Linked DNA regions of Struthio camelus. The protein of the gene in region 1 interacts with the protein of each later gene in a pairwise test. Links are inferred from orthologs where the notes say so. Each region holds a gene or a part of one and is shown in the gene's direction. Other genes may lie near its edges.

The links.
Region 2: the proteins of REL (region 1) and ACOT8 interact in binary tests that used the Homo sapiens proteins (3 or more experiments, as listed by UniProt). The two-hybrid records come from large-scale screens. The link is inferred for Struthio camelus from reciprocal best matches to the Homo sapiens genes REL and ACOT8.
Region 3: the proteins of REL (region 1) and CDKN2C interact in binary tests that used the Homo sapiens proteins (3 or more experiments, as listed by UniProt). The two-hybrid records come from large-scale screens. The link is inferred for Struthio camelus from reciprocal best matches to the Homo sapiens genes REL and CDKN2C.

What each region holds. Positions count from the first base shown.
Region 1 is NC_090944.1:131,633,336-131,637,080, reverse strand, and holds the start of REL (proto-oncogene c-Rel), read left to right. Parts: upstream 1-1,303; 5' UTR 1,304-1,318; coding exon 1,319-1,370; intron 1,371-2,772; coding exon 2,773-2,915; intron 2,916-3,745. UniProt on the Homo sapiens protein: Proto-oncogene that may play a role in differentiation and lymphopoiesis.
Region 2 is NC_090959.1:19,316,649-19,320,393, reverse strand, and holds the start of ACOT8 (acyl-coenzyme A thioesterase 8), read left to right. Parts: upstream 1-1,227; 5' UTR 1,228-1,277; coding exon 1,278-1,408; intron 1,409-1,481; coding exon 1,482-1,618; intron 1,619-2,811; coding exon 2,812-3,037; intron 3,038-3,319; coding exon 3,320-3,477; intron 3,478-3,745. UniProt on the Homo sapiens protein: Catalyzes the hydrolysis of acyl-CoAs into free fatty acids and coenzyme A (CoASH), regulating their respective intracellular levels. Displays no strong substrate specificity with respect to the carboxylic acid moiety of Acyl-CoAs.
Region 3 is NC_090949.1:30,979,127-30,982,871, forward strand, and holds the start of CDKN2C (cyclin-dependent kinase 4 inhibitor C), read left to right. Parts: upstream 1-1,539; 5' UTR 1,540-1,685; intron 1,686-2,042; 5' UTR 2,043-2,054; coding exon 2,055-2,183; intron 2,184-3,745. UniProt on the Homo sapiens protein: Interacts strongly with CDK6, weakly with CDK4. Inhibits cell growth and proliferation with a correlated dependence on endogenous retinoblastoma protein RB.

The sequences.
Region 1 (3,745 bases):
TAGCGTAATATTTCTACTGCTGGTACGTGCATAGGCAATTATAATCACAAACGCAGATGAAACTCTAAAGCTCTGTCTCCTTAAATGAAGGGTTAGCTAGATTTTTGTTTTGCTTCCATTTCAAACCCTTGGCTGAGTAGATGCGGGCAAATAGGTAATATAAGGAGCCTTACGTTTCTCTTACAGGATTGGTGGAAGAGTGTCAATTTTTGACATAGCTCATATTTCTTTGACAAACAAAACAAGATCTCAAAAGGACAGTTCTCCAGCAACTGTGTGTGTGTGTGTGTAGATTATGAAATAATTAAACAGTGCCACTTCACAAGTACATTGCTTATTTACAGAAATAGGGAACACTGAACAGACCTCCACTTCACTGCAGAGTGCTGATAATACCTTTAGTTCACGCAACCACTTTTATGTGTTTCCTCTCTACACAAGACATGATGACACTGATAAATAATTGTGGTGGAGATAATAACATGATTCTTAAATAGAGAGAGTGAGAACCAAGATAAAACGAAGTTTAATATTTAATCTCTGGAGGCTACCGCGTCACTGAGCTTAACTTTCCCACAAACACACCTGCTGTTAAGCGGTGGGTTTGCCTTCAATGACATTTGTTTCGACCGCAGTCCCCTAAAGATCATTGAGCCCAGAGTTCTAAAATACTCAAGTGCTCTTAACGGGTGAGAAAAAAAAGTCCTCTTAAGCGAGTATTAGTAAGTAGAGCGTGAAGGGAAATCATTGGTTAAAGCAGAGAGAGTTAAAGACTTGAAATTATTGTGTACTATAGCAATTTCACACAGCAAGGCTCTAGCTAGTTTTGACAGATACGTAAGGTATGTGGGTGTGTTGTGGGTCTGTTTAGCAGCTATGCAAGCATGTGTCTGTCTCCAAAGAAAGAAGATTATTAGGCACTTTACTCCAGTTTTGTCACCGTAACATCTAAAATAGATTTTTAATTTAATATATAGATATATGTCTGTATTTGTGATACGCTGTGTTATCTAGGGATGGAAAAGTGAGATTCTTTTCTCTCCTCGCTTACGTGATGGAGATGGGAGGCTAATGAATACCCAACAGTCACTCTTCTTATTGTCCACTGGACCGACCTGATATATGTGTTAGCATAAGTAAGTTTTACGTGTGAAAGTTGCATAGTCGTACACTGATGTGTGGGCTTGACTTTGTGAGGAGCTGAGGCATCTGATTGCTCTCTGCAGCCAGCTTTGCACGAATTCTAGGCTTTTTTGTTAATACTGTCCATCCATCCTCACCCTTTGCTGGATTTGCTTGTTTTCCAGAAGGAGAAAATATGAAAACTTATCTGAAGGATCTGAGAGGCACACGTAAAATTGCCCATCCTTGTGAGTAACTGGGGCTAGAGTAGTGGCTGAGATGTGTTTAATGTGACAGCGCAGGGTCTGTCTTCCGAAACTGACTTAAAATCTACTGGATGGAAGGTGATCAGTTTTGTTATTGCCATTTTGATAAAAGGTTAGAAAGCAACGTGAAACTGTCGTTCTCAGATTTTGCCACCAAATACAGCCTGAAGTTGAAATGCAGTTTGCCCTTCAAAAGGCATTCAGCTGACGGACTTTGGAAAGGCGGGTAGTGTTGAAGGCAGTGCCAGCATCAGAGCTCCTTTCATGTGCTGCCATTCCATAGCGGTCTGTAAATGTCTTCAAGTAAAACATACATACAAGTAAGAGCAAGGTGACAAGTTGTGTTCTTCTGATCGTGTAACACCATGATGATTCAACTTCTACAATATTTACTTTCCCTCTGTTATTTGTTTTTCACATGCCATCCCACTGTTGTCACTGTTTGACTGACTATCCTGTTGGCTGTTCTCAGTGAGATATGTTCGATACCTTGAATATATTGGCTGTCAGTAAAACATTACTTTAAAATAGCGAAACTCATGCTAAGTCAAAAGTCTTTCTAAACCTTTCATTAAAAACAGCTGCTGTCTCTCATTCTTGTCTGTCACATTTCCTGAAAAGCCTCTTTTGACAACTGCCCAGTAGTCTTTACTAAGATGTTTTCTGTGTATGGGGGATCCTGCAACCAGAAGCTAGCCCTGTGGGAAGTGGGCAGGTCAAACTGCAGTACCAGCAATCGTGTATTTTCTGAGACCCTCAGTGATGGTACTCAACCAGTAGCAGTGGGTGTGGGGGGGTTCTGTATTTTTTTTTCTGTTTTTTTTTCTTTCATAATTTGCATAGTTTCTGCTTCACTATAATGGGAACTAAATCAATCGATTCTGAGGAAATATCTTTACTTTCAGAGGCTATTCAAGAGAACATACTACTGACAGTACCTGTACTTTGAGAGGACAACCATTCCTAAAAGTGTATTGTAATTAAAAAATATCAACTGTTCCCTTGAAATAATGATTTTTTTTCTTCTGTTGTATAAAATCCTCTTTTATCAGACATAATTTCTTTTAGCTATTAGAGAATTTAAGTTCCAGGGGAGATGGGAGGGAGGGCAGAATCCTCTGCTGATTATTTACATGGCATTGATACCTGGACACTTCATTTTAAATCTGCTGTCCCCTCCTTACCCCTCACCTTTGGTTGCGTGTATACACATTGAAAGAAGAGTTGATTGTCTGACAAGGTAGACCAAATGAAATAAAGGTAATAATCAATAAAAGCATCTGGATTTTCTAATTCTTATGTAGCAGCTAACCATGTAGCTTGCCTTCTGCTGCTTTTTAGTCTCTACTACTAGCATTGAAAGTGTTTCATTTTTTTTTTAAAGGTGGCCCTGAACCCTACATTGAAATATTTGAACAACCCAGGCAAAGGGGAATGCGTTTCAGATACAAATGTGAGGGAAGATCAGCAGGCAGCATTCCAGGAGAACACAGTACAGAAAACAATAAGACGTTCCCTTCCATACAGGTAATACTACTTTTATCCAGGATTATCATTGCCCACATTAGCATTGTACTGTAGCTATGCGTTTGATTTGATGCAGTAAATAAAGAGGATGTTCCTCATTTCATGCTGTGCCAGTCTTTCCTGGGCATCCAAATGTAGTTGAAACAGATTGGAAAAGGAGTTCTTTGCTGCTGGTCATTAAAGATTTTGCTCCACATTTAGCAGAACAGAAGATGATGTACAGGTAGGTAACAAAGCACCAGTACAGAGGGAACTCAAAGTAATGTTACTCAGTGTTGGAGAATCATTTGTTTTTAGCTTTTTCTGTATGTTCGCATGTTCTGCTTTCTTAGTTTTGTGCCTTGGGTTTAATTTAACTGTTTTGGACTGTAATGTGAATTTTGGGAGGGCTCTGAAGGAGGCTGTCCGTGTACAGATTTTGAAAAGGCCAGTCTCACTGCTGGTGCAGCATGAAAGAAAGTACTCTGTAGAAAGGAGTAAAGTAAGAAAGTGACTTGCAGCCAGTGATTCAGTGATTAGTTTCTGCAACAGAAACTACCGTGAAGTATATGAAGTCAGAAGGGGATACAGAATTTAAAAAGGAGCTGAGAAAGGGGAATTATGTGGTCAGAGCACCTGCGGGTGAAGAAGAGCTGGGTGGTTGCATTAAGGATAGGTTGGGAAATCCAGAATGAAGGGATTCAGGCTAGTCCTGGCAGCTATGATCAAAGCAGAGACAAAGGTATGGACAGCGGAGGTGGATGGAAGTGTTTTGGAGATGTTGTGAAAGTTAACTGCCAATCTTGCTGTTGTTTCCTTTACATGTGGGACAAAGGAATGTGTCTGGGAAG
Region 2 (3,745 bases), on another chromosome or scaffold:
AGATTAAATTATATCTTAAGGCGGCAAGTTACGTAACCAGAGCACAACCTTGCAGCCTTCGCTCACATGAGTGAATCCACTGACTTAAGATGGAAATGAGACTGCTTCATGGCTTTAGTAGAACTACACAGATAGCAAGGGCTGCAGAATCAAGTATTACAGAAGAGAAATGTGACTACACCTTTCCCTCGCAGTGATGTAACAGGCAGTTAGAGAAGGCTAAGTGACATCAATATTTAAAGCCACGCTACCATAGCGCAAAAAGGCTGCGGGGATAGTTAGCCAGCAATGTCACAAAAGGATCATTTCAAAGATCAATGCTACGGGTTTTGCTACAAACGGTAGAGAGAACCATCAAACCAAAAAGCAGAATAAGGCCCCGGACAGAGCTGAGCAACAAAGACATGAGACAGGAGACTGCTACCAGCAGAAGGAGAGAGAAAGTGAGATTGGCTTGACACGAGCTAGAAAAGAGTTAGGGGGAAGGTAGGAACGAAACGAAAACCAGCTGAGACTACGAAAACAGCAAGTGCGACACAGTCAGCAGCACCCGTGGCCATGAGCACGTCACGCCGTCAGAACCGGCCCTTTTAGAGGGACGAACAGCCTGGCTCCAAGAGACGCGCAAACAGCTTCAAACGCGAACTGGCGGGGGCCCGCGGCTACGGCCGCCTCGGGCCCGGCCCGGGGGGCAGCGGGGCCCCGGGGGGGAGGGGGCGGCCTCACCTGAGGTCCTCGCGGACGGCGGTGCCGCGCGCCCGGTTGTGGCAGCGCACGGAGACAGAATCGCACAGAATCGTTTAGGCTGGATGGGCCCTCTGGAGACCATCTAGTCCAGCCTCCCCGTTCAAGAGGCCGCTCCGCAGGCCGTAGCGGCACCGCTGCGCCGCCTTGTAGGCGCGGAAGCGCTCCGGGAAGTCCTCGTAGCTCCTGAAGCGGGCACCGAGCTCCATGGCCGGGCCGGGCCGGCGGCGGCTCGGTTCGACCCGGTTCGGCCCGGCTCGGCCCCTCAGCCCGCCCGCCGCCATCACCGCCCCCGCGAGAGACCCGCCGAGAGGGGGCGGGCCCTCCGCGCTTATTTAACCCAGAGAGGCCCCGCCCACAGCCCGGATCCGACCAATAATAGGCTCCATGGCTATGATTGGCAGGAGGCTGTCGAACCAGCTCGGCGGTTTCGGCCCCGCCCGAGGATTGACGGGCAGGCGCCGGGGCGGTGCTTCCCGCTTCTCCGCGCGGCTGCCGGATGTCGCTGTTGAGCGGCGGCGGCGGCTGAGGCGATGGCGGCTGCCGGGGGCGCGGCGGGGCCCGGCGGGGGGCTGCTGCCGCCGCCGCCGCCGCCCGGGGACCTGCGCAGCGTGCTGCTCACCAGCGTGCTGAGCCTGGAGCGGCTGGAGCTCGACCTGTTCAGGTGCGCGGGGCCGCGCCGCGCCGGGCCGCCGCCCGCGGCCGCGCCGCCCTCACCGCCGCCCTCTCGCCCGCAGGGGCCGGCACCACTGGGTGCCCGCCACGCAGCGCCTCTTCGGCGGGCAGATCGTGGGCCAGGCCCTGGTGGCGGCCGCCCACGCCGTCGGCCGCGACCTCCAGGTCCACTCGCTGCACTGCTACTTCGTGCGGGCAGGTGGGCCGGGCCGGGCCGGGCCGGGGGCGGCGGTGGGGGGAGCTGCGGGGCCGGGCCGGGGCCGGGGCTGGGGGGAGCGCCTGCGGCTGGTGGGGGACCAGAGCGGGGCTGGTGCAGGGGATGGCTGAGGGCTGGGGGGGGCAGGCGAGTCCGGGGGACGGGGCGGGGGACAGGGGGGCAGGCGAGTCCGGGGGCTGGGGCGGGGGACAGGGGGGCAGGCGAGTCCGGGAGCTGGGGCGGGGGACAGGGGGGCAGGCGAGTCCGGGGGCTGGGGCGGGGGACAGGGGGGCAGGCGAGTCCGGGGGACGGGGCGGGGGACAGGGGGGCAGGCGAGTCCGGGAGCTGGGGCGGGGGACAGGGGGGCAGGCGAGTCCGGGGGCTGGGGCGGGGGACAGGGGGGCAGGCGAGTCCGGGGGCTGGGGCGGGGGACAGTGGGGCGGGGGACAGGGGGGCAGGCGAGTCCGGGAGCTGGGGCGGGGGACAGGGGGGCAGGCGAGTCCGGGGGCTGGGGCAGGGGATGTGGGGCAGGCGAGTCCGGGGGACGGGGCGGGGGACAGGGGGGCAGGCGAGTCTGGGGGCTGGGGCGGGGGACAGGGGGGCAGGCGAGTCCGGGAGCTGGGGCGGGGGACAGGGGGGCAGGCGAGTCTGGGGGCTGGGGCGGGGGACAGGGGGGCAGGCGAGTCTGGGGGCTGGGGCGGGGGACAGGGGGGCAGGCGAGTCCGGGGGCTGGGGCGGGGGACAGGGGGCAGGCGAGTCCGGGGGACGGGGCGGGGGATGTGGGGCAGGCGAGTCCGGGGGCTGGGGCGGGGGACAGTGGGGTGGGGGACAGGGGGGCAAGCGAGTCCGGGAGCTGGGGCAGGGGATGTGGGGCAGGTGAGTCTGGGGGCTGGGGGGGGGGAGGACAGGTGAGTCTGGAGGCTGGGGCGGGGGCTGGGGGAGAGGCTGGGTAGGGATGGGGGGATTGGGGCTAGGCGGGTGAATCTGGTTACTGAGGAGTTGGGGATCCAGGGCTGACGCTCACAGGAACGAGTAGGTGCCACCATTCTGGCTCCATCACAGAGGATGTGGGCAGCACTCCCAGCTCTGGGCGCAAACAGTTCAGCCTGCTGGGCCCTAGTGCTTGATCTGTGCAGACCAGGTCTTCTCTGTGGCATGTGGCTGCCCAACGGCAGAATAGCTCTTTTCTGTTCCAGGGGATCCTGAGGTGCCGGTGCTGTACGAGGTAGAGCGGACCCGCACAGGGAAAAGCTTTTCTGTTCGCTCCGTGAAGGCCATTCAGCATGGGAAGCCAATCTTCATCTGCCAGGCCTCCTTCCAGCTGGCCCAGGAGAGCCCTGTGCAGCACCAATTCACCATGCCTACGGTGCCACCCCCTGAGGAGCTGCTGACCCAAGAAGAGCTCATTCAGAAGTTCCTGGAGTGAGTGCAGAGGAAAGGGGCCACTGGGGACTCTTCTCTGCAGCTTGGGATTAGGGAGGTGCAGGGACAAAAGCAGATGGGGAAGGATTTGAGTGGCTATTTGAGGAGTTCTCAAATACTCTTGGGAGGGGAATAGAGAAATAGAACAGGGCAGGAGCTGTGCCGTTTCTGCTTTTCTGTGTGGCCCTGGATCCCTGAGCTGAAACTACTGCCAGCTAGACCCCTCCTAGGTCTTCTGCTGGATGCTTGGCATTAATGTCAGTGCTCTGTGTTGGTCTGAAGGGATCCTAACTTGGCAGAGAAATACAGAAAGCTTCTCAACAAGATTCAAGCCAAGGATGTGCCAATTGATATCAAACCTGTGCACCCGCCAGCTGTATTCTGCTCAGAGCCACAGGAGCCAAAGCACCTCTTCTGGGTGCGAGCACGAGGCTATATTGGTAGGTACTGCCACAGCGGTGGCCCAGCTCCCTCCCAAAGTGAATGCTCGGGCTCAGGCTCAAGCTCACAGTAACGCTGTGGGGCAAACTCATGACAGCGAGCTGAGAGGGTCACAATCCGCGGGCTCTCTGTGCCCCAGACATAGGAGGAAGCCTGGAGCTCTCAAAGCTGAAATACAGCTGTGGGTGCTGGGGCATGAAAAGGTGCCTGTTTGCCACGCTCAATTGCTGCAGGCTTTAGCCAAGGGGACATAGCAGGGGAACAGCT
Region 3 (3,745 bases), on another chromosome or scaffold:
CCCTCACGTCTTCCTTGTAGTTACGTGCCTTTTCCCCTCAAAATGGCCCTTTCAAATTAACCAAGAACATCAGAAACACGAACAGCAAAGATTTCTGTTCTGCATTCTCGCCTCTCACAGCTACCGCGACTTGACATTGGCCCTTCATCCGTGACCTTGTCCCTGCGGAGCAGAGCCAGCACCGCGGCAGGACCGGACCCTGCCCGGGAAGCCGCCGCCTCCGCGGTGCCGGGCCGGGGCCGCTGCGGGCAGGTGGGCACCGCTCGGCCGCGAGCCCGCGGGACCCCGGGGCGGCGGCGCTGGGTGCCGGGGGAGCGGCGGGGCGCGCTGCCCGCGGCGGCTCGGCCCTCCGCGCTGGCGCAGCGGCTCCGGGCGCTCAAGCGCTCCCGCTTTAGGCCTCGGCAGCGGAGCCTCTGAACCAGCGACCTGGCGACTGCGGCGGCGGCGGGCACGTCCCTGCCCTGCCCGGTCCGCCAAGCGGGGGGAGCCCCGCACGGCGCGGGCCCCGCCGCCGCCCGGCGCGCAGCGTGCGCGGGACCGGAGCCGGGACCGGAGCCGGGGCCTGCGCGGCGGGGCCGGGCGAGGGGCGGGCGCCGTGCAGGCCTTCCTGCCCGCCCGCCGGCCGCGCCGCAACTCCGCCGCGCCTCCTTAAATCTCTGCCGTTAAAATGTGGGCGGGTGTTTCAACTCAAAAAGCGCTCAAATTTTTTTTCTTTTCAAAAAAAGCTGATGAGGTTAAAAAAAAAAGGGGGAAAGAAAAAAAAAAAAAAGAAACCGGCTTCGTGTCCGTAGGAAACAGAAGTAGAGATTGTTTGTGCTTAAAAAAGGGGGAGCGTAAAGTCGCGGGCGGAGGCAGCGATTGCAGACCGGCAAGTGCAGCTTTATTTTGCAAAGTTGAAAGAAAAGGAAAGCCGCTGCTGTCACTGCGCGCCGGAGGCTGCGAGCCGAGGGGCCGGCGGCGGCACAGCTGGTTGGCGGCAGCCGGGGTGCCGCGCTGCCCGGGCCGCCCGCGCCCGCGCGGCTGCTGCGCGGGCTGCGGCTGCCCCGGCGCAGCCTTTGCCCTCCGGGCGCTCCCGGGAGCCGGTCCGCCTCCTCCTCCTCCTCGCCCGCTGCTCGCACACACCGCTCCCCTTCCTCGGCGCGGCCAGCGCGCTCGGGACGGCGGCAGCGAGAGAGGCACCACCACACCGGGGAGCGCCGAGCCGCCCAGCGGAGCGCCGAGCGCCGGCCGCGGGGCCCGGCCGCGCCGCGGAGACGGCTGCGCGCCGGCGGCGCCGCGGCGGCTCCGCGCCCTGAGCGCGGGCGGCGGCATGCGGCTGCCTCTGCGCCGCCGCCGCCGCCAGGCCGCCGCCGCCGCCCGCGGCCCCGCCGGCCTCCTGGATGCGCCGGAGCCGCCGCCGCCGCCGCCCGCCACCGCGCCCGCCCGCTGCGCCCGGGCTCCGCCAGGACGCGGGATCGACGCTGCTGCGCGAAGCCAGGAGCGCCGGGGCCGCCGCGCCGAGGGAGCGAGCGCTGCGGCCGGCCCCGCCGCCGCCCGCCGGCCCCGCCGCCGCCCCGCGCGGCTCGCCCTGGAGGCGGCCGTGCCGGCTGCCAGGGGGCATCCCCCCGGGCATGGACGCGCGCCGCTAGAGAAGACTTTTCTTCGGAGCTGTTGCTGCTAAGTCTCGCATCCCGACTGTGAACAGGGTGGGTTGTTTTCTTCTTCAAAGATTTCAGGGCTGACTCAGGCTCCAGGGTACGTGTATATATGTTACATATAACATATATCATATATTTCATAGCTTTTAATATATTTCCCTTTAAACTGGCCAAAGTCTTTAATAGGAGTTACTCTATATGTGGAAGCGAAGAAATCTTCTTTCAAGTGGAGCTGCAGTTTTGCTGAATAATCACGTGTGAGTTAGGGGCGGGCTCTTGGCAAGGAGTTTTTTTACGAGTATTTACTACAAGGTCTACTCCAGAAGATTAACCATCCCAATCCTTCTGTCAGTCTCCGATGCCATGCCTGGTTAAAAAAAAATCTCATCTTTTTCCGATCGTCAGTCACCCTAAAGAATGGCCGAGCCTTCTGGGAACGAGCTGGCGTCCGCGGCTGCCAAGGGGGACCTAGTGCAACTTACTAATTTGTTGCAAAAGAATGTAAACGTCAATGCACAAAATGGATTTGGGAGGACTGCGCTGCAGGTTGGTATCCAGAGAGGGAGAAAATATTTCATCACTGCTACCTACGTGACCCGGGTTTCCAAAAAGACAACGTTTTAAACAGGCTGGTGGACGAAATTCGAGTGTTTTTTAAAGTAGTTGGATGCCATATTTTATAACTTTAGTGGCTCCAACTCCCTAAAATGACGTACTTGAAATAAAACTGGTCAAAACCATTATTTCAGTCGGGGATCACCCTCAATGTCAAACGGGCTACAAGTTTAATAATATTTTGTAACTTAGTGGGGAGGAGGCAAAGAATGGAAGAGAGGAGATGAAAAGAAATCATCTTAGGTGAGCAGGATTTCAGAGCAGGTCTGTAAACACATCTGTGTTACTATTTGAAGCTTAGAGTTATTTTTTGTTCCCCCTATAGTATGCTGTTAAAACATTGCTTTTCTCGATTATTAGTTCTGCGGTAGATGGTACTTTTCCTTTATACGCTGTTTGTGACGAATGACCTTTCTCATTTCGAAGCTGCTACACAGAATCGAGTACCTTAGATGTACATTCATAGCTAGCCGAATGAGTTACAGCTCAGTCTGAATCACTTGCCTTTTCATTCATAATTAAGGCTTAAATATTTGAATTTTTAGATCGGATGGCAAGGCATTGCTTCCAGCTATTTCATTTCTGATCGTATAGGGTCCTCTGTCCTAATTTTTAAGTGGGTAGCTGTGCAGACAGGATTTGGAACTCATCCAGCTGCTAACTATTGGAGCTGATGAAAGATTTCTCTTTTCATAATATCAGATAATGATGGCGAAAATGGTAGAATGCATACAAAATAGTGAAATAAGTGATTTATAAATCAGGAGGAAATGTGTGGTTATTTATATACTTAAGGGAATGTAAAGAAATGTGGAAGTAGAGCTGTGGGACTTTTTAATTTCACACATTAGAAAAATCGTTTCTATTAACTCCTCTCTCCCCCTCCCCCGAAACCACGATATTCATTTCTGAAATTTTGTTTTCAAAAAGCATGTAGCTTGCGAATGCGCTCGAGATATTTACAGGTTTTTGGCTTACCATCAAAATGTTAGACCTCGAAAATAAGCACCTCTTGTTGTAAAGCAGTACTGACCCTTGTTTGACAATTTCACCTAAACTCGAGAGCTGTAAGATTATCTTTGCACTGTTATCACCTAAATAGGACATCGTATGACAGTGCAGACACTCGCAGCAACTTTTAGGAGCAGGGAAGGATTTAAATTAGAAACTTGTACAAACTAACTTTTTTTAAAAAGCAGGAAACATTTAGCTAGATGCTTTATCCTCCAGACGGGGGCTGAAAACCGAATGGTACTACAGTAATGTATTTTGCTAAAAGAAACTAAACGTCCGTGCCCTAAATTAAGGAATATTTTACACAAGGACAGAGCATTCAGCTATATTAAACACGCATCTGTGTACTAACAATACTTTTTATTGCAGCCTAATCATAACTGAGTTAAGGAACCGCAAACAAAAATCAAAACAGAAGAATCTGTCTACTTATTTTCACTATGTATCATCCTGAAATGTGTTGTGGGTGGGTGACCACG